Linked DNA regions of Elephas maximus indicus. The protein of the gene in region 4 interacts with the protein of the main gene of each other region in a pairwise test. Links are inferred from orthologs where the notes say so. Each region holds a gene or a part of one and is shown on either strand. Other genes may lie near its edges. The genes, in order: myomegalin, MYT1L, GSE1 and TNIK.

Region 1 (7,960 bases), on a different chromosome or scaffold from region 4:
TGTTTGAGCCCATTGTTGCAGCCACTGTGTCAATCCATCTCATTGAGGGTATTCCTCTTTTTCACTGACCTTCTACTTTACCAAGCATGATGTCATTCTCCAGGGACTGGTCCCTCCTGATAACATGTCCACAGCACATGAGATGAAGTCTTGCCATTCTCACTTCTAAGGAGCACTCTGGCTGTACTTCTTCCAAGACAGATTTGTGTGTTCTCTGGCAGTCCAAGGTATATTCAGTATTCTTTGCCAACACCATAATTCAAACACATCGTTTCTTTTTTCATCTTCCTTATTCATTGTCCAGCTTCCACATGCATATGAGGTGACTGAAAATACTATGGCTTGGGTCAGGTGTACCTTAGTCCTCAAAGTGCTATCTTTGATTTTTAACACTTTAAAGGGATCTTTTGCAGCAGATTTGCCCAGTGCAATACATTGTTTGATTTCTTGACTGCTGCTTCCATGGGCATTAACTGTGGATCCAAGTAAAATGAAATTCTTGACAACTTCAATCTCTTCTCTGCTTATTATGATGTTGCTTATTGATCCAGTTGTAAGGATTGTTTCTTTACATTGTGGTATAATCCACACTGAAGGCTGTGGTCTTTGATCTTCATCAGTAAGTGCTTCAAGTCCTCTGCCCTTTCAGCAAGCAAGGTTGTATCATCTGTATATCACAGGTTGTTAATAAGTCTTCCTCCAATCCTGATGCCAAGTTCTTCTTCATACAGTCCAGCTTCTCAGATTATTTGCTCAGCATCTGTCTGCTGAATAGATATGGTGAAAGGATACAGCCCTGAGGCACACCTTTCCTGGTTTTAAACCTCACAGTATCCTCTTGTTCTGTTCAAATGACTGTCTCTTGGTCTATGTATAGGTTCCTCATGAGCACAATTAAGTGTTCTGGAATCTACAATGCTTCAAATAAGTACATTGAGACAGATTGTCACCATCTGACAGCTCACTTAATTCCTCATTTTTAATAATTGTATACTTGAAAGAGGGTCAGCATTGGAAAAGGTCTATCACAGAACAGGCCTCATCCAATAAGGCATTTTCCCAGGGCCATACACCTGCTAGTGCTCCTCTGCTAGGATTTGCTTCCCACCCAACCCCGGCTTCATATCTTGTCAGGCCAGCCAAGATTCATGTCCTATGTGAAGCCCTCCCTGCTCCTCGGCCTTTCAGCACCACGTCCAGATGCCATTAACCAACTGGTTCATATTGTCAGTGTGTACGGTCCCTGGGCGGTGCAAACAGTTTGTGCTCAACTAATAACTGAAAGGTTGGTGGTTTGAATCCATCCAGCCGTACCACTGAAGAAAGGCCTGGTCATCTATTTTTTTAAGATTACAGCCATTGAAAACCCCATGGAGTGAATTTCTAAACTGCAACACACAGGCCACATCCAGGTCTGCATAAGCCACCTGTGAACTCCATCCTTCCCCTTATCCCCAACTTCCCCCCATCCCCACCTTCACTCCCCTCCCTCCTTTTCCCCAGTGACCCGCTCCCTGCACCGCAGCCTGCCTTTGGCACAGGGGCTAAGGACAAGGGATTCCTTCAACTTCTTTGTGTCTGTGAATAGAGTTTCATCATTCACAAATAAAAGTGTCCTGAAAACAGAATACAGAACCAGAGACTATTTAGTTCTGTGATACTCTTTTAACCCAAATCCCAATTTTATGCATAGGAAACTGAGGCCTAGAGAAATTAAATAACTTTTCTAAAATCCCAGCGAGTTAATTGCAGCTTGGAGACAGAAACCACTGTTGCCTTGTAGTTTATATGAGTACTGTACTGACTTCCCATGAAAGAGAAAGCTAAAAATGCTACGCCAGGGAAATGCTTATTGAGAAAAAGGCACACTCTCTTCTCTAGAAAATTGTATGTCAGACAGATTTTCATCCTGCTGCTACATGAAGAAAATTTGTCCCTAATCTGTTCCCTCTTCTAAGAGCAGAGGAAGTGACCCGGTTTAGAATGGAGCTTGTCCTGCAGGACCTGGGATCCAGCCAACAGGCAGGGCTCCAGCCCTGCAGGCTAAAGGAGGTGGTCAAGGAAGAAAAAGCCATCACCAACCCCCACCCAGCTGTCTGTATCTAAGATGAATATCCAAAACAGAAGGCGGTGCAAGAGAAGGCACTGAGGACTCTTTCAGTTGTGTACCCATGACATTTCCTGATCCTTTATCTTCTTTTCCCGCCCCTAAGGCTCTTTTTAAGGCTTCCATCCTGGAATGTCCTCCTGAATCATGTTCATCTCTCCTCTCCTTTGGCTCGACCCAACAGGCACAGCCTTCAACCTCACCTCCAGCTACAAAGCCTTGTCTACATATCAAGGGAAGCCCTTGGTATAGAGACCAGGCTTCCTGAGCTTTAGGCCCAACAGTCCAGCCCCACGCTTTATTTCTAGGCAACACCGCATCACCTCTCCCCCTCTGGTGCCCATCACAGGCCCCATCACCTCTCCTGCCCTCCAACCTTCGCCAGGCAGCTGTCACTCTGCAACAACCCTTTCCAGGAACCCGGGTCCACGGCCCGCAGCCTCAGCCTACCCACAGCATGGCGTACCAACAGCCCGGTGCGATTCGCATCCTCCTGGTCTCCAAGCGCCAGAAGCTGGCGGAGCCCTCACCTCATCCAGGGTGCGGCCGCCGCGGCTGCTTCTTCCTCCTCGGCCGCCAACGCCCAGCTCCAGGACAGCTCGGAGCGCCGCCGTTCTGGGCCAGGGAAATGCCGCCGGGACGGGGGAGCTCGCCCGGCGTCCCCGGCCCAGTAAGGCGCGTGTTGCGCCCGGCGGGATACGCTGCAGCAGCTACCGTTGCAGTCACATCGGCGGCGGCAGCTGGACCCGCTGTCGGCCCTCTTCATGAATTTTTCTCTCCTGGCCTCTCCAATCCTGTTTTCCGTTCCTGCTTCGTTTTCTTATGGCTTTCCTGGGCTGCCAGGGCGCATCCCTCTGGCCGGGGATGAGCAGCCCCTCCAGTTGCCACTGTTGAGGCGGAGACCTGGCCGGATCCTGCCCTTTCACCGCTGCTTCTGCCACCTGCTCCGCCCAGATTGCTTTGGTCCGGCTCCCGCAAACACCCGCCGCTGCCCCTTCACCCTCTGTTACCTCCCCATTCTCTCTCCACCCACCACCTCAACCGGGAGATCCCTTCATTCCCAGACCCCACTCTTTTTTTTTCTATATGCTCCAATGCCACCTTCCTCAATTTCCAACCTCAGATGAGTTCCTTCTTTTCTCACCCCCTCTCTACATATTTTCCTGGCTTTTGTCTTCCTCCTTGCCCAAATCTGTTATCCTCTTATCTTTTATCCGCTTTTTTCTCTCTGTTAATCTCTCCTCAAATTCATCACTTCTCCAGGTTGTTGGCTAGCCTCTTTCCCCTTCTTTCTTCCCTTTCTCCCTCTTTTTAAGTCTCCATTTCCTTTCATTTTCCCTTTAGTAATTGTCAATAACTCTCTGCTAAACAACCCCAGTTTTCCTTTCAGCTGAGACTTTGTGATGCCATTTTTCATGAAGAAATCATAGTAAAGAATATGTCTTGGTATCCACCATCAAGTCAACGGACTGTTATCATCTGGGAAAAAAAGAAAGGGGTCATAGGTCAAATAAATCCTCTGCTAAACCCTTTTCTCCTATTCCATATGTCCTCTAGGAACAGAGACCAGCGAGAGTACAGCAAAACAGAATGACTCTACTACATTATTCTGTGTAGCACAGGGCCTACATAGAATCCACAGGGCAGCTGGATACCACGCATCCCAAGGTTCACAGGCAATAGCCATTACTGTTGAATGACTCAGTGACAGCCAAGCTGAACCCATCCTTCCACTCTAACCTGTCACTCCGTCCTCTGTTTTTTAACCCCAGCACTCCCATCCATCCAGCTGCCCAAACCTCAAACCTGGTAGTGATCAGAGACTTTTATCTTTTTCACTCATCCACCACATCCAGTTGTTATTTCTATTTCTTTACTATATCTGTATCTTTAAGTGTTCGCTCCCATCGTGATTCCAACTGCCTCTCTTAAGGCCCACCTCCAAACCCTTCTTCCCACTGCTTCCAGAGGCCTCTTCATGAAACACTCACCTACTTAAAACCATTCAATGGCTCCTTGGAGATTTTGTGATAAAGTTCTACCACTTAGTTTAGTATTCAAGGATTGTCTTGAATGGCTTCTGCCATCTTTTCTGGCCTCCTCTTCCACTGATCTCTTTCTTCCATCCTGTACCTCCACTACCTTCATTCTAACCACAGTAAACTACATCTAATTCTCTGGGTCTAAATCAGGCTCTTCCATACCTCCTTGCCTTACATTTCCTGTTTACTCTGCTTGGAATACCTGTCTCCACCTTCTTTATCTAGTTAACTCCTAAAACCCAAAAAAAGAAAAAGAAAACAACCCATTGGTGTTAAAAAAAAAAAAAAATCATTGCCATTGAGTGGATTCTGACTCATAGTAACCCTAAAGGACAGAGTAAAACTGCTCCATAGGGTTTCCAAGGAGCACCCGGTGGATTCGAACTGCTGACCTTTTTTTTTTTGGTTAGCAGCTGTAGCTCTTAACCACTATGCCACCAGGGCTTCTAACTAGACAATGCAGGTATCAATCCCGCCAACTCTTGCATGCTAAGCGAGCACTCTACTATCTGAGCTAATACGCAGATCTGTTTAGTCAATTAAATTTCATGGTGATCCCATGTGTTTTACAGAGTAGAACAGCTACATAGGGTTTTCTTGGCTGTAATCCTTATTGAAGCAAATCACCTGGCCTTTCTTCCACAGATGATGGGTGGGTTCAAATGACCAGTCTTCAGGTTAATAGTCAAGCACAAACCTTCTGTGCCACCCAGAGACCTATTTAACTCCTACTTACCCTTTAAAAAGCAATTTATGTGTTACCTTCTTAGGAAAGCCTTTCCTGATCCCTTAACCTTATGTAGGTGCTCCATCTCTATGCCTCTATAGCAGCACCCAAAGCACATCTCTGCCATTTAACACACCATTGTTGTAGATTCACTTATTTATCTTTTCCACTAGACTATTAACTTCTTAAAGACAAAGATTAGGTCTTTTTTCACTCAGTATAACCAACATCTTACAAAGCACTTGGCACACAATAAGTGTTGATAAATGTTTAAAAAGTAAATAAACATTAAAAAAATTTACCTGATAGCACGCCTGGAATAAAATAAAGGCTCAATAAATTCTGTGAGGTTATGGCTTTATTGGTGGCCTTAATGAATTGATGATGAAGGGTGTTTTGTTTAGTGTGATTAGTAACATTTATTGAACACTTGCTTCATGGCAGGCATGATTAAGCACTGATACTTATTAATAAATGAACTAAGTACTGAACTTGTACTTTCACAGTTGGATTTTTGGCCATTTTTCCTTCAAGCTTAGACTTACACTAAATATGGGATACAAGCTTCAAAAGGGCCGCACAGCACCCTAATGAAGTAAATGGAGACTGTTAGCTTTTTCTCAGTAAGTTAACGCATCAATCTTTCAATTTCTTGGCATTAAAAAAGTCTCTGAACTAGAAGAAAACCACTAATCCTAAATAAAGTCCTGGCTACCACCTTCAATCTCTCTTAAAGAAGGATCCATAGGCTATTCGTGTCAGAATCACCTAGGATGTTTGTTTAAAATGGAGATTCCTGCATCCCACCACAGAAGTACTGAATCAGAATCTCTGAGAGTGTGATAATCCTCATACTCAAGAAAAAGTATCTAAAGTTTTAAGATAAGTCAAAAGGATCATTAAGCGTCCATTCAAGATCATACTAGAGTGCTAATAATCCTGTTCATCTGCCTATTTGGGGCCATAGTTTCACCTGACTTACTATTTGCTATTGAATAGAATCCAGACTCATTGAATTTAGATATTTGTAGAAGATTAGTAAATTGCAAATCATTTTTATTCAGGAAAGATGCAAGTCATTTCTGTCTGCATAAAAAAAAAAAAAGCATAACATCAAAGGTTATAGCTTTACTGCCCAGTAAGACATTGACCCACCAGTTGTCTGTCAGTTTGTCATTCAGTGGTCACTTCCATGTTGCTGTGATGTTGGAAGTTATGCCACTGGTATTGAAAACACCAGCAGGGTCACTCATGGTGGACAGGTTTCTGCAGAGCTTCCAGACTAAGAAACACTAGGAAGAAGGACTTGACAGTCTACTTCTTAAAAACTTGGCCAGTGAAAACTTTATGAACATCAGTGGACCACTGTCTAACAGTACTGGAAGATGAGTCCCACAGTTTGTATAGTGCCAAAAGATGAGCCCCTCAGTTTGGAAAGCACTCAAAATATGACTGGGGAAGAGCTGCCTCCTCAAAGTAGAGTCAACCTTTCAGGACCTTTATTTGCTGATGTGCTATGAGAAGAAACAGCTGCAAACATCCATTACTAATCAGAATGTGGAATGTATGAATCCAGAAAAGTTGTAAGTTGTCAAAAATGTAATGAAACACTTGAAGATAGATATACGAGGCATTAGAGAGCTGAAATGGACTGGAATCAGCCATTTTGAATCAGACAACCATATGGTCTACTATGTCAGGAATGACAAATTAAAGAGGAACAGTATTGCATTCGTTGTCAAAAAGAACATTTCAAGATCCATCCTGAAGTACAATGCTGTCAGTGATAGGATAGTATCCAATGCCTACAAAGAAGACCAGTTAATATGACTATTATTCAAATTAGTGCACCAACCACCAACGTCAAAGATAAAGAAATTGAAGACTTTTACCAACTTCTGCAGTCTGAAATTGATCAAACATGCGATTGAGATGCATTGATAATTACTGCTGATAGGAAAGCAAAAGTTGGAAAGAAGGACAAGGAGTTAAAAAATATGGCCATGATGATAGAAACAACATGGGAGATCTCATGATAGAATTTTACAAGACCAATGACCTGTTCATTGGAAATACCTTTTCTCAACAATATAAATGGCAGCTATACACGTGGACTTCACCAGATAGAATACACAGGAATCAAATCAACTATATCTGTGGAAAGAGATGATTGAGAAGCTCAGTATCATCAGTCAGAACAAGACCAGGGGTTGACTGCAGAACAGGCCATCAATTGCTCATATGCAAGTTCAAGCTGAAGCCGAAGAAAACTAAAACAGGTCTAGAAGAGTCAAAATATAACCTTAAATGTATCCCACCTGAATTTAGAGACCATCTCAAGAATAGATTTGACACATTAAACACGAACAACTGAAGATCAGATGAGTTGTGGAATGACATCAAGGACATCATACATGAAGAAAGCAAGAGGTCATTAAAAAGATAGGAAACAAAGAAAAGGCTAAAATGGATGTCAGAAGAGACTCTGAAAGTTGCTCTTGGTTGTCAGTAGCTAAAGATAATGGAAGAAATGATGACGCAAAAGCGCTGAACAGAAGATTTCAAAAGCAGCTGAAGAAGACAAAGCATAGTATTATAATGAAATGTGCAAAGAACTGAAGTTAGAAAACCAAAAGGAAAGAACACTCTCAGCATTTTTCAAGCTGAAAGAATTCAAGCCTCAAGTTGCAATATTGAAGGATTCCATGGGCAAAAACATTGAATGATGCAGAAAGCATCAAAAGAAGAGGGAAGGAATGCAGTCACTATATCAAAAGAATTGGCCGACATCCAATCATTTCAAGAGATAGCATATGATCAAGAACCAGTGGTACTGAAGGAAGAAGCTCAAGCTGCACTGAAGGCACCGGTGAAAAACAAGGCTCCAGGAACTGACAGAATACCTATCAAGATGTTTTAACAAACAGATGCAATACTGGAAGTGTTTTCTCATCTATGCCAAGAAATTTGGGAGACACTTACCTGGCCAACCAACAGAAAGAGATCCATATTTGTGCCCACTCCAAAGAAAGATGATTCAACAGAATGTAGATATTATCAAACAATATCATTAATATCACACGC
Region 2 (7,135 bases), on a different chromosome or scaffold from region 4:
CATGTCTTGCACATAGTAGGTACTTAATATGTTGAATTAATATATAAACAAGAGAATAAATGTGTAGCAGTTTGAACAGAGTTTTTAGAAATTCCAGAACATGTATCGAAGTAAATTTTTAGCTTTTTAAAAACTAAATTCATGGTATAAAATCAGCTTTTCTTTAAGTCAAATTAATAAGAGTTCATTAAGGAATGGTAGTGCATTCCAACACTGGAAGACTAACTCTGTTTAGAAAGCAGAGGTCGTGCAGTGAGATGAAAGACATAAGAATGTAGAACACTTTAAAAGTATTAACCTTCTCAAAAGCCCTAAACTGAACATCCCCCCAACCCCATTTTTTTTTTACTAGAAATTCATCTTAAGGAAAAAATTAAGAGTATAAAAATTTAAATCATTAAAACTTTTAAGAAGGTCATTTTGAAAGAATGGTCATTAAAACTGTTCATAAAGCAAAAATTTTAAAAACTTATAAAACTACAGTAAAGCATTAGTTAAATACACATTTGTATATCTATAAAGTGGAATGCTATACAGCATGAAAATAAGTATACTTATTGACCTAGAAATAAATGCATGATACATAAATTTAAAAAAAGGGGTCAAAACCAAAATACACAGTATGCTCCATCTTAATTTAAAAGTATTTATGTAAAGAAACCAGTCATGAAGAATTTTAAACTAATACATTAACTGTCTGCACTTGAATTTTGGAATTTTCAGTACAGTTACTTATTTTTTGCTAAATATGTATGTGTGTAGGTGTGCATATATGTATACACATACATATATGCATATATTTTTAATATTCTATATTTTCTACAATGTGTATATGCTAATTATGTAAAGAAAACAAAAGTTAAAAAAATTTCTCTCTCTGGTAGTTAGATATAAGTAGAAAATACAACACTTGGAGGATAAGTTACTGACCATATTGCCACCAAATGTAAGGGAGAGTAAAGGGATAATGCCTTGAAAATGTGTAAGTTCTGAAGAACTACAAATTAATTGTATAGTACATGGAGAACATCAGGTCCAAAAGATTGGTTCATTTCTCACAATCCTGATGGAAATTAATTTGTTTTATTAATAAGAATAGAGGTTCTCGATTCCAAACACTTAGAAAACAGGCTCGGAAAAGTCAGTATCTGTGTGAGGGTCACAGAGCAGGTGTGGGAAGGGCAGGAACAAAGGTCCCTGGACCATCAGGCCCCTGCTCTAGTTGCGGCCATGCTACTCTTCAACAGGCTTGAAAATTCGTAGTTTTGTTTCACTACAAAAAAACCCATTGCCTTTGAGTCGATTCCGACTCATAGCAACCCTATGGGACTGAGTAGAACTGCTCCATAGGGTTTCCAAGGAGTACCTGGTGGATTCGAACTGCTGACCTTTTGGTTAGCGGCCGAGCTCTTCACCTCTGCACCCTAAAGGAAACTGCTGTGTCAAAACTGGCTCTAAGCAAACAAACAAAAAAACCTGTTGCTGTCTAGTTGATTCCAACTCTAGTCCTTGGTAAATTCTTTGAAATCTAGTGATCTTGGGCCACTTATCCAACCTCCTTCAGCCTTGATTTCTTCATGTCAAAAGGGAGGGAGTGATATCTCCTTCATAGGGGTACTGTGAAGATTGAAAAGGAGCCTTGGTGGTGCAGTGTTTAAGCATTGGTCTGCTAACTGAAGATCAGCAGTTTGAACCAACAAGCAGCTCCGTGGGAGAAAGGCCTGGCAATGCGCTTCGGTAAAAATTACAGCCTAGTAAACACTATGGGGCAGTTCTACTCTGTCCTATGGGGTCATTATGAGTCAGAATTGATTTGACGGCAAGTGGGCAGGGTAAAGATTGAAAGGGATGATGAATAGAACATGGAGAAAATGTTGCCTGACACAAAGTAAGCACTTAACTACATGCTAAATGTTATTATTAATAATTTGCCTCTCCATGCATGTATCAACAGAGAAGTAATTTTACAAATTTATAACAGATCTAAAAATGTAACTTTTTGTCCTTTACAGTCTGAGTCTGTCAAATGTTTCATTATGACAGGCAAAGAGAATACCAGAATGTGTGAGTTTCGTCAGTCTGCTTATATGCAGAAGGTAGTTTAGTACTTTCCACCATTTTTTTTTTTCAGGGTTATTTATGCAGGTCAAATGAAAGACTATGGGTGGAAGTATTCTGAAATCTATGAAAACCTAAAAAACAAACCGGTTGTCATTGAGTTGATTCTAACTCATAGCAACCCTACAGGACAGAGTAGAACCGCCCCAGAGGGTTTCCAAGGAGCAGCTGGTGGATTCGAGCTGTTGACCTTTTGGTTAGCAGCCAAGCTGTTGACCACTGCACCACCAGTGCTCTGAAATCTGTGAGGCATCGTATAAATATTAGGAATAAAAAAATGAGTACAATTTAAAAAAATATACAATGATAAATATGTGTGCTTTTTGGATTATGTTCTCTGGTTGATTTCTCAAATATTTAGATTATATACAATACTCTTACAAGAAAAATTGTAATGGATTATGTATCAATTTAAATATGTATATGTAATCAACTGAACAATAAAATAAAATTGAAACATCTAAATATTTAAAACAATAATAGCTGGTAGAAAAAACTCAACTCCTCTATCAACTTTGAAACCGAATGGCTTCTTTCTCAATAGACCTAACTTGACATCAGTCATTACTGCATTCCACGTTCTGCTTGTTTTCAGGTAACATTCTTTACATTGCTCGTAAAATCACAAAATTCTATTTTTATTAACATACCACCCTCTATAGTTCTTCAAATGTCAAAGTTGATTGGACAGACATCCAGGAAATAACAGCACGTACCTTGTCCTCGGCAACAGCTTCTGTGCGTTCTTTCCTGCACATAAGAGAAGACATAAGGAATTGTTAGTGAAACTCCTAACCTTCCCTTCTGACATAATGGAGAATTAATAGCTTCTCTGTTTTTTCTGGGTTTTGAGAGATTCTCATTAAGTTAATGGAGGCTATCCGCACAAACCGCCACATGCACTTTAATTCAGCTGAGGGACAGTACTGGAGTAACCCATGCATAATGTACCTCCTCAAAGTTGAAGTGCTTTTACATAAGAGTTGGCCCTTTAATAACAAAGAGCAAGGTCAAGTGTGTGAAACCTGAGTCAGTCTCTAAGTCTCTGGCCTCTCTGCAAAGACCATCCACAAAGGGAGATGAGCTGGAGACTAGCTCAAATGCCAAGAACATCAGGTGGTAAATGCAATCGTGAACACAAGGTTCTAGATGTAGGGGAATGTCTCTTAGATTCAGATATGGCAGTACATGCTGGTTCAAATGAGGACCTCAAAATCTAGTTACTTGTGTGAAGCCATATGGTGACTGATTCTACAATGGAAATAATAGAAGATCAAAAAAATAAAAATGAAGAAGGTTGAAACGAGGAAGGATGTGAGTTTCCGGCATTTCCTATTTCCTAAATTTACATGGAAAGACTGGAGTGACTCGAGAAAAGGAAAATAATTTCTTTGGAACATTAATTCAAGTTTTTCTAACCACCAACCATATTCATTCCAATTTTAGCAGTTCTGTGGGAGGAAAAATGAAACATACAATTCCTCCACACTTTCAACTTCACATGTATTCTTTACCTCTACTTGGAATACTCTCCCCTCTCTCCTTTCGGGTTTGTCACAATCCTGCCCAGAAGTCACACTTCTATTTTGTGTGATGTTCCCAATGATAGTGAAAACAGTGATCGTCTTCATAACGACATAACAGCACCAGTAACAATAGCCTCCCTTACTGAATCTCTAACTAAGAGAAGCAAGACCATATGCTGGATAGTAGATGCTGTAGGTTCATTATCTCCTTTAATCCTCACAAGCAAGGATTACGATCCTCACTGTATAGTGTCTCAAATGTTAAGTGACTCTGAGACACACAGCTAGAAAATAGTTAGCTGTGACTCAAGACCAGGTCTTTCTGATGCTACAGTTTTATTTTATCAGGCTACTCTCCAATTTTTCAGACCCTCCAATACTTCAGTCCTGTCTTCTTCATCCTTTTAAAGAAAACATCTAATCTTTGTGAACATGCTGTGATTGACACATAGAAGCATTTGCAGATGCACACAATGACCCTTCCAGGACAACAATGTCACCCTTACTAAAATGTGGAGGACATTTCAGATCATTCAGAGTCAAATGAAGTATGTGAACACTTTAAGGCTCTTAGTATCGAGTTTCTGATGATTTCTAATAAATGAAATAAATAAAAAAAGGGGCCCAGGAGAAAATATTTATGGGAATTTCAGGCCTTGGGATCTTGCTTTGATAACTGAAAATGGCAGTAAATCTAGTTTTTAGTTGGGTTAGAGTATGTTTGCCTCTTATGAGTTAGGAATAAATGTTCTCGCAGTTTTAAGCGGCCCAAAATGGTTTGCTGTACTTGGGCAGGGCAAAGAGGTCATCTGTGGAGAGGGCTGCCCATGGACACTTAAGTCAAACTTAAGTCAAATGTAAGCGTTATACGTGTTTGCTTCTGAGAACTATGTCAGTATGCACATAGGCCTTAATTTTCTCTCTCATTTGAATTATTACCTGCAAAATGATGGGGAGCGGTGCATATAATCTTGAGAGGCAGGAAAGAATGAACAATTGAGAGGAAAAGACTTGGTGTTAAAAGCAATCTGTGCTAAGTTCTATTGTCCACATCACTTAGGTTGGGGGGAAAAAAAAACTACGGAAATATACAGACTTAATGCTCACGTTATCACATGAGAGAGACATATTGATCTCCAGATTTGTATGTATGTATATACATATATGTGTGTGTGTATTACATTTTTAAATCTAGAATGCCACTGCTTTGATTCATTTTTAGTGACATTGTTTAAAATATTTCAGATAAATATAAAAAAGACTACAAGATTTTTAAGTTTATCAGAGTATTGGATTAAAGAACATTGAGAAAAATTGACTGGACTATAAGTTATTTTAGATGTCAGATCCAATATCTTTTATACCTTTTATTAAGCTCTATTTTTTATACCACTAACATCCTGTCTCTATTAAAAAATAGTGGGTTTCACTTTGGTAAGTGGCACCTGGGGTCTTAAAAGCTAGCAAGTGGCCATCTAAGATGAATCAATCGGTCTCAACCCACCTGGAGCAAAGGAGAATGAAGAACACCAAAGACACAAGGAAAATATGAACCCAAGAGACAGAAATGGCCTCATAAACCAGAGACTCCATCAGCCTGAGACCAGAAGAACCAGATGGTCCCTGGCTACCACCAATGATAGCCATAACAGGGAACACAACAGAGAACCCTTGGTGGAGCAGGAGAAAAATGGAGTGAAGACCTCAAATTCTAGTAAAAAGACCAGATCTAATTGTCTGACTGAGACTGGAGTGACCCCAGAAGTCATGACTCCTGGACTCTCTGCTAGCCCACAACTAAAACCATTCCTGAAGCCAACTCTTCAGACAAAGATTAGACTGGACTATAAGACATAAAATGATACTGGTGAGGAGTGTTGTGCTTCTTAGCTCAAGTAGACACATGAGACTAAGTGAGCAGTTCCTGTCTGGAGGTGAGATGAGAAGGCAGAGGGGGACAGGAGCTGGTTGAATAAAAAAAAAATAGACATGGAAAATACAGGGTGGAGAGGAGGAGTGTGCTGTCACATTGTAGGGAGAGTAACTAGGGTCAGATAACAATGTGTTTGTAAGTTTTTAGATGAGAAGCTGACTTGAATTGTGAACTTTTACTTAAAGCACACACACACACACACAAAGAATAATGGGAAAAACACAGGAAAAAAAGTGGATTTAAGAGCTTTGCAGATGTACAAAAGTAAGTGACTTATTTTTTAAGAACCATTAACTAGAATAAGTCAGTCTCAATCTTCCTTTTTTGGTCTTTCTAAAATCTTAAATAACTTAATTACTGCAGGTACAAAAAATGACAGAATTTCAAAATCACAGAGTGACTTTTCATTTGTAAAATGATAAAATAGGCTAGATGAATTTTAAGCCCCATTCTGATCTCTATAATTAAGCTTTAGGCAGTGGAAGTTGGGAAACTTGGTCTTTAAATGTACATAAAAGTTTCGTTACTTAACAGTTATTTCATATTTTAAGTAAAATGGTAGTTATTTATGTGTGGATATCACCACTTCTTAAAAGGAGAGGAAGCGCTAACCATTTCATGGAAAGAATAGCAACAATGTGACTAAAATTTTAATGTTATTGTTGTTGTTGGGTGCTACCAAGTCAGCTCTGACTCATAGCTACCCTATGCACAACAAAAGGAAACACTTCCTGGTCCTAAGCCATCCTGACAATTGTTGCTATGTATGAGCGCATTGTTGCAGCCACTACGTCAATCCATATTTATTTCAACTTTGGAACTTAACACAGTGGAGATTTAAGTTTGAGCTGTATCAGAATTTAAGGCTTGACTTCAAGAATTTTCTGGTAAGGCATACAGCGCAGTCTAGGATATTTACTTGCCCCATTTTGTAGACTTCGCCCAAGCAGACATCAGCTATATCATTGGATATACCATTTGGTCTCATTATCTTATTATCTGAATTGTTATGATTCATTTCTGAACAAAGGGAAAGATGTATTTATGACATTTACAAAGATACCTTATAAATAGCAGCTATGTGCAAAGTAGAGGACATACATTGTTTCATCTAAGCTTTAAACTAGGTAGGTGAATTATAATACCAATTTTAAGACAACAAAACTGAGGCATGGGGAAGCTAAATAACCAGGATAAGATCATATAGTTTGCAAATAGTACAATTGGACTTGAACCCCAGCAGCCTAGTTTTGATGAAAATTAAAGACTACAGCCTTCAGTATGGATTATACCTCAACATAAAGAAAACAAAAATCCTCACAACTGGACCAATAAACAATATCATGATAAACGGAGAAAAGGTTGAAGTTGTCAAGGATTTCACTTTACTTGGATCCACAATCAACACCCACGGAAGTAGCAGTTAAGAAATCAAATGAAGTATTGCGTTGGGCAAATCTGCTGCAAAAGACCTCTTTAAAGTGTTAAAAAGCAAAGATGTCACTTTGAGGACTAAGGTGAGCCCAATCCAAGCCATGATACTTTCAACCACCTCATA
Region 3 (6,846 bases), on a different chromosome or scaffold from region 4:
GAAGCAGGTACTTGGAGTCTACTCTGGCACGTGACGTTAATACCAACGAGCTTTGGCATGCTGTCCTCATCTTCCTCACCCATACCCAGCCTTTTTTGTGTCAAGACTCAAATCTGTGAAGCCCTTATTTCCTTAGGCGTGAAAATGGGAACATGGGAGAGGGGATATGGGACCTTCTTGGCCATGCTTGTCCTATCCAGCTGGCGCCTCAGAATTTAGGGCAAGGCTAATCTTAATAGCTCACATACCAGGGGGTTACAGAGACACAGCCTGGGTTCAAGTCCCAGCTCCACCAAGCTGGTTCCTGAGACAGGGATTTTCTGAATCACTGGGTCATTGAGAGAAGCAAAAACATCCACTTGAGCACTCCCCACCCCTGCTCTAGGCCCACTTTACACGTACATGCACACACACAGAGACATACACGTATGAATGCATGCACACACATGAATGCACACATACACATGTAAACGAACACAATGAATGCACATATACTCGTGCACACACACGTACATAATGGATACACATACATGCACACAATAACACACAAACACACACATGCACACAATGAATGCACGCATACATGCAGACATGAACACGCATGCATGCATACATACACATGCACACATGTACACAGATGCACTCGCATACACGTGGCACACATCCAGTAGTTCTCCTGAATCTCCAGCTTAGCCAAGAAAATCCCATTTCCCACTTTTTGTCCAGTTGACCCCTGTGGCCCTTCTCCCTCAGACTCTGCACAACCTCATCACAGTCGCACCCCCTGCCCCCTGGAGTGCAGACAGACAGCAGAAGAACCTCCTTTACCACTGGGTGAGACAAGAAGGGACATGCACTGTCACCAACAGCATGCCGGCTCCCCTGTGCCAGGGCATCACTCCCTCTACCTCATTTGATCTGCTCAAAAAATCATGAGAGGTCGGTGTGTGGGGCCCAGGCATTGAGCCAGGCACTGGACATACACAGTGAGCAGAACTGACTGGTCCCTGCCCTGGATGAGGGAGCACCCAGCCTCCCGGGGGAGCTGGATGGGGAACAAGCAGACAGAAAAAATAATTAAAGTCAATGGCAAATTCCTATGCCAAGGACTAGAGACAAAGGGTCACCGGGGAGGCCTCCCTTTAGGGGGAGTGGACAGGGAAGTCTCTTGGGATGACATTTCGGCCAAGACCTTAAAGATGAGCTGGAGCAGCTTGGCAAAGAGAGCCTGGGAAAGCATTTGGGCAGAGGGACAGCCCTGCCAAGCCCTGTGGGATCCAGGTGTAACTCCCCAGCCTACCTAGATCTCCTAAGCTCGGCATTGTTTTACCAGCAGCCCCTCTGCGTGTATATGTGGGGGGAGAGGGACGTTGGCCAGTCCCCCTTTAATGTGTGGGGATACAATTGAACAGACCTCACCCTTTAACATTTTCCTAATCAGCCCCCTCCTGTTGCCCTCCTGCCCTGCCCCTGACATTCCTCTGGGACAGTTTTGCTGACGCAGCGTTTTTCCACTATGAGGGCATTTCTGGCCAAGATGTTCACATTAACCTCTGGACTGTGACCCCTGGAGTATCCACGTGGGATTCCACAGAGGTGGCCCTTTTCTCTTGCTCTGTTTATTTATAATGCATGGCCTCCTTTGTGCCAAGAGGAAGCCCAGTTTTATTTACAAGTCAACGCCCCAGAGGCCGGAGGGGCCAATTGGCACCATTGTCACCAGGCCGACTTCTGGGCTCCAGCTGCCAGGTCGGACAGCTGTCAACTGCTTGGAAATCAGAGGCTCACAGAGTTTTGAAGCTGGAAGGGGCGTCATTTCACAGATGGGAGATGTGAGGACCAGAGAGGCCTGGGTTTGCCCAAGGCTGAGCCAGGACCGCAGGGAGAACGGAGGAGTCCTGGCCATGTTCCCTGATGGGGATGGCCTATCAGCACATGGATGACGGACCAGATATGTCAGGTGCCCATCAAGGCTGCACAGCCAGATCGTTGGGAGCAGGGGCCTGGAGCTGGACTGCCTGAGTTTGAATCCCAGCCCCACCACTTCCCACATTAACCCTCTATGCCTCATTTTTCCCATCTCAAAAATGGGGCTGACCACAGCACCCAACTCAGAGTTATTGGGAGAAGTAACTGAGCTAATATGTGTAGCGCTTAGAATGGGGCCTAGCACACAGTAGGGTCTCTCGCTACGTGTTCCTTAAATAAACTCACTGTATTTATACACATATTCAGTAAATGCACTGGAAACAGTTACCCTCTGCTGCAGTTCCTGTTTGTCCAGAAGGGGGGAAGACTCTCAGACAGGTTGAGTCCCTTGCCCCTAGACACATAGGACCTTTTCTGCCTCTGGTGGTGATCCAGTGGCCTCTGGTCAACACGGGGGGCGGGGGGACGGGGGGCCTGGCTGGGCCCCCAGACTGATGCTTCACTAACCGTGTTCCAGGACAGCTCCTCTTCTCTGTCTCCAAAATTAGAAAGCCGGGCCTGAAAAGTTCCCTCACCCCTAGGCTGCTCAGCTTCTAGTAACTGGCCCTCACTCAGCCCCCGCCCCCCTTTTGAGCGGGTAGGGGGGCCTCCGTCCGGGAGCTGCCCTTCATCTGCGGATGCACCTCGGTCTCCAGGGGCGTCCTTACCTGGTTCCTCTGGCGTTCTGCGTCCTCCTTGACCTTTACTTAAAGACCAGCCTTGGCCGCTGATGGGCTTCGGCGGGTCCCTGAGGAGGCCCTTCAGACGGCTTTAGCCGGGCGGGCTGGAGAGAGCCCCTAATTGGGGCAATGAATCATTGTGCGCGGCTCCGGGGCTGGACACAAAATAGATAGTGGAGCCGGCGAGCTATTGTGCGCAGTTTGGGACGCGGGAGGAGGGAAGGAGGGCGGAGGGAGGGGGAGGAGGAGGAGGAGGGAGCGCGCGAGGGAGGGATTCCCCGCCTGCCCTCCTCCTCCCTGCCCGCCCACCCGCCCGCCCGCCCGTCTCCCTCCTCCCCAATTAAATGACCCAACGCTTTGGCAGGCGCCGGAGCTCGCACATGCGGCTGCCGCTCCAGCCGCCCGGAGCCCGCCACCGCCGCCGCTGCGTTCCGGGCGCGCTCGCCGCGGCGCCGCCTCGGCCTGCGCCGCCGCCGGGTGCTCGGCAGGCCCGGGGGGCGCCCCCGCGAGCGGCCGCGCGCCCCGCCCGGCGTCTGCCGGCCGCCGCCAAACTTTGCGGCGCGCGCTCATGGTCCAAGTTGGGCGGCAAGGCGGCGGGGCCCGCGGCTGCCGGTGAGCGATGAGCGGGCGGGCGGCGCCGGTCTCCCGCAAACAGCGGCTTATGGCAGCGCTGGCCGAGCGGCCGGCGGGCGGCGGCGGCGCGCCGCTCTCCTGCTTCATCTGCGGCGGCGGCATCGGTCGCGGAAAGGAGCTGAAGCTGCAGGTGAAGCAGCCGGCGGCGGCGGCGGGTGCGGGGGCCCCGGCGCAGCCCTTCTTCCCGTTCCTGCAGCAGCAGGAGCCGGCGCCCGGCGCGCGCGAGCTCTCGCCGGCCGACGGTTGCGTGCTGGTGTGCGCGGTGTGCCGCTGCTTCCTGGGAGAGCAGTGGGCCGCCTTCGAGCGCGCCCGCACGCCAGTGGACAAGCGCATGTACTGGCTCAAGCGGCCGCACCAGTGCGAGGCGGGCGCGGGCGGGCGCCGCGGGGGCGCGGGGGCCCCGCGCGAGTGGAACGTCGCCTACGCGCTGGGCGCCGGCGCGGGCGACGACGACGACGAGGACGGCGGCCCCGGGCCCCGCGCGCCCGCCGACGAGGCGCGCGACTCCGAGCTGTCCGAGCTGTCGGACACCGATCCCCTCTCCGAGCCCGACCCGGGCGCGCACGACGCCGTCAGTCCGGCTCAGGACGGGGCGCCGCTGCCGCGGAGCACCCCGGGGCCAGGCCCTCGCGGGCCCCGCGGCCTGGAGTGGAGGCCGGCGCCGGGACTTCCTCTGGGACAGAGCGCAGAGCCCCCCGCTCAGGGGGACGTGGACGAGGAGGGGGCCCCTGCGAAGCTGCACGTGAGCGGGGAGCCCAGGACCGGCAGCGGGCGCCGGCGGAGGGGGACTGGGAGGCACTGGGCCCCTGAGGCCCGGGCCAGCGTCCTGAGGGGCATTCAGGGCACTTGGCAAGACCCACCAGTCCAAGCGCCTGCTGCAGATGGAATGAAAGGGCCCCCCTCTGGCAGGCCCACCAAGACTCCAGAGAGCAGGCTGCTGGGGGAGACCCACGGGGGCTACTGCACCTCTGAAGACAGTGACATCAACATCACCAGCGAGGAAGAGGACGACAAGGAGCAGCCCTTCCCTGCCCCCTGCGGCCCCAAAGAGAAGGACAACAGTGACCGGGTCCCCCGGGGGGCCCCGGAGAGCCGTGTGGTACCACCGGAGGGACCTTGCTGCTACATCTGTGGGTCAGCGCTGTCGGCGGCGTCGCAGCACCAGATCCACGTGCAAAAGCAGGAGAAGTTGGCACAGGCCCCGTTCTTCCCCTTCCTGTGGCTGCACAGCCCGCCCTCAGGCGCACGTCCCATCAGTCCTGGAGGCAGCACACTGGTGTGTGCCTGCTGCTTCACCTCTCTCATGCAGCAGTGGCAGAGCTTCGAGCTGGCGAGTGTCCCTGTCCTGCAGCGGCTGTACGTGGTGCCTCTGAACAGCCGTGCGCCGGGCATGGCCTCCAAGGGCAGAAGGCTGCCCAGGGAAGAGGGTGTGCCTGCCGCAGCCCTTCGGGAGGCCTGTTACCTCTGTGGCGAGGACTGCACCCAGGATGCCCGAGCTGTGCCTTCCAGGATCCTCAATGGCAGCACCAGGAGCACCATGCACTTCCCCTTCCTCAGCCTGCTGCCCTGCCCCCCCAATGCACGGGCCCCCAACAAGCTCTGTGAGGTCCATAGCTGCCCCAAGTGCTTCAGCGTTCTGGAGGATGTCTGGGCCTTGTACCGGGCCTGCCAGAATGAGGAGCTCATCACCTCCGTGCAGGCCTTCCTGGGCAGATACCACCAGGCCTTCTCTGCGTCTGACTCAGGAATCTCTGAGCCGCCCACCGCAGCCCAGGGCAGCCCAGCATCTGTCTGCTACATCTGCGGGGCTGAGCTGGGCCCTGGGAAGGAGTTTCAGCTCAATGTGAACCCCTCCAGCTGCCTGGGTGAGAAGGAGCCCTTCTTCCCCTTCCTCACTGTGTACCCGCCTGCCCCAAGAGCCAGGCCTGTGGACTCCACCGGCCTGGTGGCGACCTGTGTGCTCTGCTACCACGACCTGCTGGGTCAGTGGCTTCAGCATGAGGCCCGTGGTGCCCTCCATGCCATCAGTGCCTGGTCTCGGCAGTACCAGGTAGAGACCTTTGTGTGCTTCTTCTGCCAGCAGGAGAAGAAGCGCTGTCTAGGAATGAAGGCTGTGCGAGTGGCCCGACTACCCCTGTTCCTCTATACCTTGCGGGCGAGCCACAGCCTGCTGGTGGACGATGGGCGGCAGCTGATCATTGGTGCCTGTGTGGAGTGCGGGACTCTAGTGTGTGCGGGCCAAGGGCCCAACCGTCAGGGGCCTACCGGCTGGAGTTCCCCAGTGCCAGTGGTGACAAAGGTAAGCGGTGGTTCTCATCTCATCTTAAAGCCTTCCTTAGAAACCTGTGCAGGGAAGGAAGCGGTGTTTTCTGTTTCTCTGCAGTTTGTGCTGGTCCTGCGTGGTGTGTAATGGTGAGAGGTCACCAGGCTGCCTGCCCTTGGTTGGCTCCTTGGCCTGGCAGAGCTTGGAGACACAACGTAGGAGGTCAGAGAAGTTGAGGGACCAGGAGTGGTCTGTGGAAGAACGGGCACTGCTGAAAACAGCAGGCATGGGAAGGAGCTTGGGCGTTTTTGCAGCAGCGTGTTTGTGGCGGAATCTATCAAACAGAGGAAGTTCAGGGCATGTCTGTCATCTGCCTGATAACATTGGTAATTAGTCCAGCCATGCAGGTCACAGAGAGGTCTCGGCACTTACCATGTTTGGAGCATACCAGGGGTGGAAGTTCCTCTCCGCTCTAACTCTAGCTGCGCCTGAGCTTTCCACCACCTCCCCCCCCGCCCCGCCACCCAGTCCACGCTTTCCCTTTGAGACTCTCTGGTTGCTTAACAGCAGATGGAAATGTGTTTCCAGACATGGGGGTGTGGGACGCGGGAGACAGTGGCCCAAACAGACTTCTCCCTGGTGGGAAGAGTCTTTCTTCTCTGCCAGTCAGCTGTGCGGGGTGGGAGGGAGGTGGTAGCAGAGGCCTGGGTGCTCCCTGTTTATATGGCGCTTGCCTTCACTCGGCTGCTTGCCCTGGAGGAGCTCCATTAATTTTGGATTTGGGGGTCTGGGGAAGAGGATGGCTGTGAGTCGAAATCATGCGTGGCCTAGGGGGCCGTGAAGCCTAGTTTCCGCCCAAGAGGGTAGGCTGGCTTGTTTTACTCAAATACCTGCTGGTGCTGCTGTCATGAAACGCTGACCCAGCAGCCGGCGGAGGGGCATGTGGATGGGGCAGGCCATCCCATCCTATTCAGGAAGGTGGTTCGATCCTTTGATCCCTTCGAAAGGTTTCTGATCCCACCTTCCACGTGTGTGCACACATAAGCGGAGGACCCTGGTACATGTGTACTCACAGCGGCCCCCTGTGTAAGGTGGTGTCCCCACCACATATCTGTCCTGCTTCCTTGGTCTGCAGGGTCCCACACCTTCATGGATCGCCCAGGTCTCCTTCTCTAGCTGACACCTGGGTTGTGCTTTAAGGCTGTCTTTGGGGGCTCCGATGGGACAGCCTTTGATTTTAAACCGAGCCTATCGTCTCCCATCCTGGAGCCCGAACCTCTCATTGGTGGCGTGTGGCAAGCC
Region 4 (6,982 bases):
CTCCAGTTTCCTATGTGCTAAATGAAAACAGTGGCTGAACTCTCCACAATTCCCTTCTAGCTCTAAATCTATGAAACCATCCCCCCACCCTCCCAGACTTAAGGCTTACCTTTGTGAGCTCTAGAAATCGGAACTAAATAAACCGGATTTGAATTTTCTATTTTCTAACCAAAGAAGATTCTGCTTTCATCTCACTTTTAAAAACCATCCAAATCTTGCATAATTTAAATGATCAGTGCTGTCATCGGTTGCTCTGGTGTAAATTATGCATTGTTACTATTTGGGGAAAATTTAGACTGGGTCCAGTCTAGGATCACTGGCTGAGAACAATAAGCCCCCAAAATGAGAAGGGACTAAAGGCCTCTCCAGACAGGATCTGGTTTTAATGCACTGAGCCCAGGGCTTATAAAAAGGGCCTTGACTGTGTACATTGAAGAGTCACTGAAACAGCATGGGACCCAAAGACTGCAGCTAATTCTCCTAGAAGCCACTGACCTTGGCTGCATTTCAGGGGTCAGGCATTCCTCAGGAGGTTCTCAGCACCAAAGCTCTTCTGAGGGTTTGGGAACGAATGAGACTTCTCAACTAGATGAGCCCACCTCTCCTAATTTGGGAAGGCAGATATGATCTGCTCTCTGATTTGTGGAGATTACCTATGTGGCCTTTGAACCCACTCTCGGCTGGCACACCCCACCTACCACAAAACAGTCCCTGACCCCAGCCCTCCAGAATGCAACTGTTTCCACACCTACATGCAAGTCCTCCAGCCAGCAGTGCTCCAGTCTCTAGGGCCAGCTGTTGCCCTCCCTGCCCACACCTCGGGGCAGGCAGAAAAACAGGCAGACCACTAAGCCGGCAGCCCAGGCCACAAAGAGCAATTGCAGTGAGCCGTAGAACGGTATCTTTTCGAAATACAGATCTCACAAGCCCTGGTATCCTAATGTGAAGTGTCTCCAGGCCAGCCCAGCGAGCCCTCGTGGTTCTCACAAGCCTGCAGGCTCTCTGCTCTCTATCTCAGAAAACCTTCCCCAGAAAAAGCCCACTGGTGACAGGTCAAAGCCTAACTTAAAAATCACAACACAGTATTTCATTAGAGGAGTGATGTAGATGTCTCGATTCTGGCTTAGGGAAATCACCACAAGCCTTGCCCATTGTCTGAACCCCTCTCCTTTTACAATTTCCCCCACCTTGAGGTCTGGCCCATACATCTACCTGCTTAACCCACCGGCAGCTACTCCTAGTACAGCAAGTAGGACAAAAGAACACACACAGTCCATCAAACAGGAGGACAAGGACTTGGTCAAAGCACCCACCCTATTACTAACTACCCCCACCCCCAGCTGCCCGGAGGCAGCGGGTTCTGAACATGGCATTTCAGCCCCAGGGAAATCACTTACTGTAATAACGCACGAATGAGCTTTTGCTACCCAACTATCAGTACAGGCAGTTTCAAACGGCCCCCCTGTTCCTTCACAACCCCCGGACTGCCTTCCTGAAACCTCATCTCTTGAACTAAAGTGGAGGGGGGGAGGGGGGAGCCGAGTTGGAACAAAAAGGAGGGAAAAAGGAGGGAGGCTAAGGAAAAAGTACAGCTTTGATAACAGTAGTCGCTCTTAAAATACCCTGGAGAAAAGAGGCAATGTCAGAAGTACTAAAAAGACTCAGGTAAATGGTCCCAAGATTTAGCTTCGATCTAACAATGTGTTCCTCAGTAGGGCGTGTGAACTTCAATCTTGCGTGTCTCGGTGTTGAGAGCCACCATCAATTTAGCCTCACCCATCCACCATGTATCAAATATATCTAGTCACTGTTATTTTTCAAGGGGGAAGGGTTCAAGAGAAGAAGTCGTCCTTAAATTGGTGCCCAATCTTTTCCCCCAGACCCCGCTGCTGCCGCCACCCCCATCCCTCACCCTCTTCCCTGCAGGCAGCATCTAATTAAAATGGCAAGAAAGCTCTGCCCCCTTCCCTTGAGTGTGTCAGGATTGGGGGTTGGGGGTAGAGAGGCGTCGAGGCTGCACTGGGATTCCTGATATTCTGCTCACAAAACAACAGTAAAATGGATTCTATACCAGTGATGTCTTAGTCAATACAATGAAACTGCGTCGGAGGCAACTCACGTGAAGGTAAATTCAAACCAGTGGGGCTGGGGGGAGGGAGGTGCTCTACAAAGAACTGGCCACAGACAGAAGGAAAACACACACACACTCCGGGAGTTCCGGTGTGACTGGAAAAAAGCGGAAAACACATCCCTTTCACCTGCTTAAGTTTAGCCATAAAGCTGAAATGTCACAGCCCCAAAGTCAGAAACCACAGGCTGGGCTGAGTTAAAACCACAAATAAAGGTGAGTGGCAGACGGGCGTTTAAGGGTGCGCCCAGAGAGGGCCGGGGCGCGGGAGGCAGGAAAGGGGAGGCTGAGGGCCGTTGCCATCCACAAGGCAAGCACAGCAGTAACTGCCCCCGTGGAGCGGCAGGTTCGGCTTCGTGGGTACAGTCAGGCTCACAATGTCATCTTGCAGGTAACTGGAAAACGTGAGGCCAGTGCCTTTATTCACGCTGCTTTTTTTTTTTTTTGCAGAAAGGGGCAGCCGGGTGTCGCGCCTTGGCACGAGGCGACCGCCCGGGGTGTCCACACACACACCGACGAGTCTTTCATTTTAAGGCTCTTACACCCGTCTACGATAAACTGGCGTAAGCTCCACGCGCTCTCGGGGGAGCCTCGGTCACAGCCAGAGGGGGACACGTACCGCACAGACCCTGCCCTGGGGGCTCAGCAAGAGCACCTGAGCAAACCCCGAAGAGAAACGAGAATCCACGTTCCCTCCCGTCGCATTCTCTCGCCTCTGCCCACAGCGCGAGCCCCGGTCCACGCGCCGAGCCCGTTCACCCTGACCTAACCCACCGGGAAGAAATCAGAAAAGGTGTTCTGCTCACCCTCAGAGCCGAGAGATCGATTTCATCCAGGCTGCGAGCCGGAGAGTCGCTCGCCATGTCTACTTGTTCGCCGGGAAATGGACCAAAACCCCTCCGAAGCTTCTGCCCTGGAGATTCCACCTTGGTCTATCTCACTCGCGTCTTCATGCGGGTGCAGCGCCAGAGGCCCGGGCCCAGCCTCCTCCGCCCACCCCGGCCCCACAGCGCCGAATCCCGACCCTCGGCGCGGCCGTCCGCCGGGTCCGGGAGCTCGACCTGCGCGGATCTCCAATCCCCAGCCGCGGTGCGTGTGGGCTGCGCGCCCTGATCGGCTAAGGGCGCTGGGGCTGCGTGGGTGTATTTAAATGGGACATGCTTCTTTGCTTGTGCGTGGATGGCGGCTGCATTGGCTGTTATAATGAGACACATCAACTCCTCCACTCAGCTGGGGGAGTGGGGGTGGAGAGCCACACAGAACTGTCTATCACCGCTTCCTGGGAGGAGTAAAGGGGGAGAGAGAAAAAAAAAGAGGTGGAGGAGGCGTGGTCTCCGGCGGAGGAGAGGCCGCGCTTCCTGACCGGGTCCCTCTGCACCAGCGTGCATGGGGGAGGGGCGCGCACCCTTTCCGCCCCGGCTATTGCGGGCCAAACCGGCTGGACCCGAGTGCCGTTCCGGGACGCGGACATGCCTATCGTACAAACAAGGAGGCTTTATTTGTGTGTGTCCAATGCGTGCGCTGCAGCAAATGGCCCGTTCAATCGCATCGTGGGGTTTCTTGGAGGGACTCAAATGATCTGACATTGAAAAAGCCAGAGAAAAAAAGAGCGACGTCCTCCCTCCCCCATTAGTTATTTGTGGGGCTGGAGTAACGCGGACTGGTGCAACCGGTGCATATAAGGACTTGTGTGCTTGGAAGGGGATCCGCCCCCAGCCGCCGAGCGAGTGGGGGAGAAGCGCGCACGCCTAGCTTGCCCAGCGCCTGGCTTCGGCAGTTCACAGGGGCCGTGGGGTCGGGTCTGCCTGCGGCCACTGGGACCGCAGATGGCCGTTCCCGGGTGCGGGTCACTGGCCGCTTCGGGTTGCAAAGGTTTGCCAGAAGCGGGAAAACTGGAAGATCGGAGCTCCCTTTTGGCATCGCCACACCCAGGACCGGCCCCTGCCGCAATTCCCCACGGAAACGACCGAATTGAAACGAGCTTTTTCTCTGGGTGCAACATCTTGAATGCTTCAGGTAACTGTCCAAAGCCAACTCTGGTTTAGGCAGCACACGCTGCCTCAGGATTTCACATTGCCGTTTCAGGCAGCGTTTCTGCGGCTGACCTACCGGGATTGATGGAGAAAGTTGGCTAGCGGATAAAATGTGCCATACAAGATGGAAGCGTGGGAGCGATTTCACTTCACCCGCTTTCTCCTTTAGAGGCTCAATATTTACAGTAGTAAACATGACATTCTGTAATCAAGAGTGTGAAGTCACTTCCCCAGGTCCCCATTGCAATCCTTCCTCTCCGGCCTTGGCCATACAAAATTAGACGTATCCGAAGAAAACGCTAAAACTGAACTTTTTTTCAAATACAGCAGTAGCTTTGAAAGTATTCTCAGGACCTCTGCTAGGAGAATAATTTACTTCTGGCCAAGGACTCTGAGGGTTTGTTTTGTTTTCTTGTTTTTGTTTTTTATATGTAGTGTGAATATCAGCTTCAGAATAAGGCTTTCCAATGAATGGATGGAAGCCAGTGCAGTTAGTACATCACAACTGCAGACAGAGGGCTTTTAAACCGCATTCGGTGTGCACCGTACGGTTTTTGTTGGTATTACTGTATTCATATGAGTTATAAATCATGCACCATGGAACTTGAAAATTTCTCCAACATCTCTATGGCCACAACTGCTTGGGAGTTTTTGCCTGTAAACGTTACACGTATATCAAATGTTTAAACGCATTATATTCAAACACTTGATTTTTACCTCTCATTTTATAATGAAATCATCCAGCTTTTTGTAGTAGCTGGCAGTAAGCCACCAAGTAATGTTGAAATGAGCTAAAGAACTATCATTTCCCATCATTGTTCTTATTTTTCCCTTCTATTTTTTTTTTAACCTTCTTCTAGATGACAGGTTAATGTATTAGTGTTGAAAGAAAATAATTAAAGGTCAGATCTATAAATAACAATTTTTAAAGCTCCAAACAACAAAAAAAAATGGGTTAAACATTTGTTTTCATGGAGAGTCTTGATTTTATAGTCCAGATTTTATTTGAGACATCACAAACAGATCTTTTGGCTTTAGTAAGCTGTTCAGGCTGTAGGGTGCCCTGTCCCTGGCACTAAATTCTACCCTTGGATTTGTAGTTAGATTTGGAAATTTAGTGATGAGTAGTTACAGAAGAGGATTGCTTCCTGGAAGCCTGAGGGGATGGGCGCGAGAGCCAAGTGGAAGCAGTGGTGCTGGGCTACAGGAAATACCATGAAAGGGAGGATTACGATAGCAAAGACACCTCCAGCTGGTAAGAGAAGATAAAAACACACACACACCCATTGCAGTCAAGTCCATTTGGACAGGGTAGAACTCTCCATATAGGACAGAGTAGAACTGCTGCATAAGATTTCCAAGGCTGAAATCGTTAAGGAAGCAAACTGCCACATCTTTCTTCTGCCAAGCAGCTTGTGGGTTCCACCTTTCGACTTTTTGGTTCACAGCTGAGCGCTTAACCACTGTGCCACCAGGGTTCCTAAAGATAAACTCCGTAAGTTATGGTTTCTTGACTTACAGGACATTGAAACCAGTTGCTGTCGAGTTGATTCCAATTCATAGCGACCCTATAGGACAGACCTGAACTGCCCCATAGGGTTCACAAGGCTGTAATCTTTACGGAAGCAGACTGCCACATCTTCTTCCTGCAGAGCGACTAGTGGTTTTGAACTGCCCACCTTTCAGTTAGCAGCCAAGCACTTAACCATTGCGTCACTGATGAAGAAAAAAAAAAAAAAAAAACTAGTGCCATCGATGATGAAGAGGAGGGGGAAATTCCGAGCTGTTTGTACTGCTGGAGGTGAAGGAAGAATGGTGACTTAAGGCTGGAGAGGCCAGCAGCGGTCAGATCAGGTACTGCTTTGTATGCTCCCTGGAAGAGCTCGAACTTTACCCTGTAGGTCAAGTGTGTAACAAATTTCAACCATTCCAGTGCTACTTTCATAATTTTTTGCCAGGTCTGTGTGCTGCCTTACTGTTGTTATTAACATTTTTTTTTAATTGATACATTTCTTTTTTCTTACATTTAATCTAAAAGGAAGCGTAAATTGCTACTGTAAATGGAAAGCTTGCAAAAAACAAAAAAGAATACCATTAAAATAAAAATAATGGAAAATAAAGCAGTATTATTATTAAATTCTAGCTAGCTGGTTTTTTTTTTAGTCATTGCCTGCCCCAGGCTTTTAGCCTGAGGGTCTGCCTTTACTTTGTTAAGAGAGAGATTAGCAAATGCCAGAAAAGGCATTCAAGACTTGAACCAAAGTGAGATTTTCCTCCTTAGTTTAATCTTAAAGACTGAGATAGTTGATACCATTATGTATGGTTTTAAAGTCTGAAGACCAATATGTTTATGTCTATATAAATATGTAGTAAACTATAAAAAGCATGGACACAGACAGGAAGGATACAGGTCAACTAAAAGATAGTGAGAAGGGAGAAAGGAATGGAAGAAAGAGAAGACTTCAACAATGACATTTAGTTTATTTATAAAAAAAGAAAGACCAAGCAAACATGGCAAAATGTTTGGAATTGTTAAATCTGGATTATTAGTAATGGGTATTCATTATAGTGTTCTCTGTATTGTTCTGTTTATTTGAAATATTTTTATATTTTTAAAATTATAAACAAGAAAGAGGAGCTCAAAGGGGATTATGTTCTCCTTATTAGGGTAAATGTTATTCAATATTGAATCTATGTACCACATTTTGGAAATCAGAAACACTACTGTGGAGTTTCCAAAAGCAAACCCCCTGTATCTTCTATCACCACAAATCCCTAGATATTCTTTAAAGAAGAAAAAAATCTTTAAAATTCATCAAGG

The links.
Region 1: the proteins of TNIK (region 4) and myomegalin interact in a two-hybrid assay, tested with the Homo sapiens proteins (2 studies listed by BioGRID and IntAct). The link is inferred for Elephas maximus indicus from reciprocal best matches to the Homo sapiens genes TNIK and PDE4DIP.
Region 2: the proteins of TNIK (region 4) and MYT1L interact in a two-hybrid assay, tested with the Homo sapiens proteins (2 studies listed by IntAct). The link is inferred for Elephas maximus indicus from reciprocal best matches to the Homo sapiens genes TNIK and MYT1L.
Region 3: the proteins of TNIK (region 4) and GSE1 interact in a two-hybrid assay, tested with the Homo sapiens proteins (2 studies listed by BioGRID and IntAct). The link is inferred for Elephas maximus indicus from reciprocal best matches to the Homo sapiens genes TNIK and GSE1.

What each region holds. Positions count from the first base shown.
Region 1 is NC_064821.1:159,487,959-159,495,918, reverse strand, and holds the start of myomegalin, read right to left. Parts: upstream 3,023-7,960; 5' UTR 2,874-3,022; coding exon 2,638-2,873; intron 1-2,637. UniProt on the Homo sapiens protein: Functions as an anchor sequestering components of the cAMP-dependent pathway to Golgi and/or centrosomes.
Region 2 is NC_064830.1:10,882,779-10,889,913, forward strand, and holds the start of MYT1L (myelin transcription factor 1-like protein), read right to left. Parts: upstream 3,025-7,135; 5' UTR 2,835-3,024; intron 1-2,834. UniProt on the Homo sapiens protein: Transcription factor that plays a key role in neuronal differentiation by specifically repressing expression of non-neuronal genes during neuron differentiation.
Region 3 is NC_064839.1:51,006,255-51,013,100, forward strand, and holds the start of GSE1 (genetic suppressor element 1), read left to right. Parts: upstream 1-3,846; 5' UTR 3,847-4,167; coding exon 4,168-5,580; intron 5,581-6,846.
Region 4 is NC_064841.1:29,026,704-29,033,685, reverse strand, and holds the start of TNIK (TRAF2 and NCK-interacting protein kinase), read right to left. Parts: upstream 3,018-6,982; 5' UTR 2,992-3,017; coding exon 2,935-2,991; intron 1-2,934. UniProt on the Homo sapiens protein: Serine/threonine kinase that acts as an essential activator of the Wnt signaling pathway. Recruited to promoters of Wnt target genes and required to activate their expression. May act by phosphorylating TCF4/TCF7L2.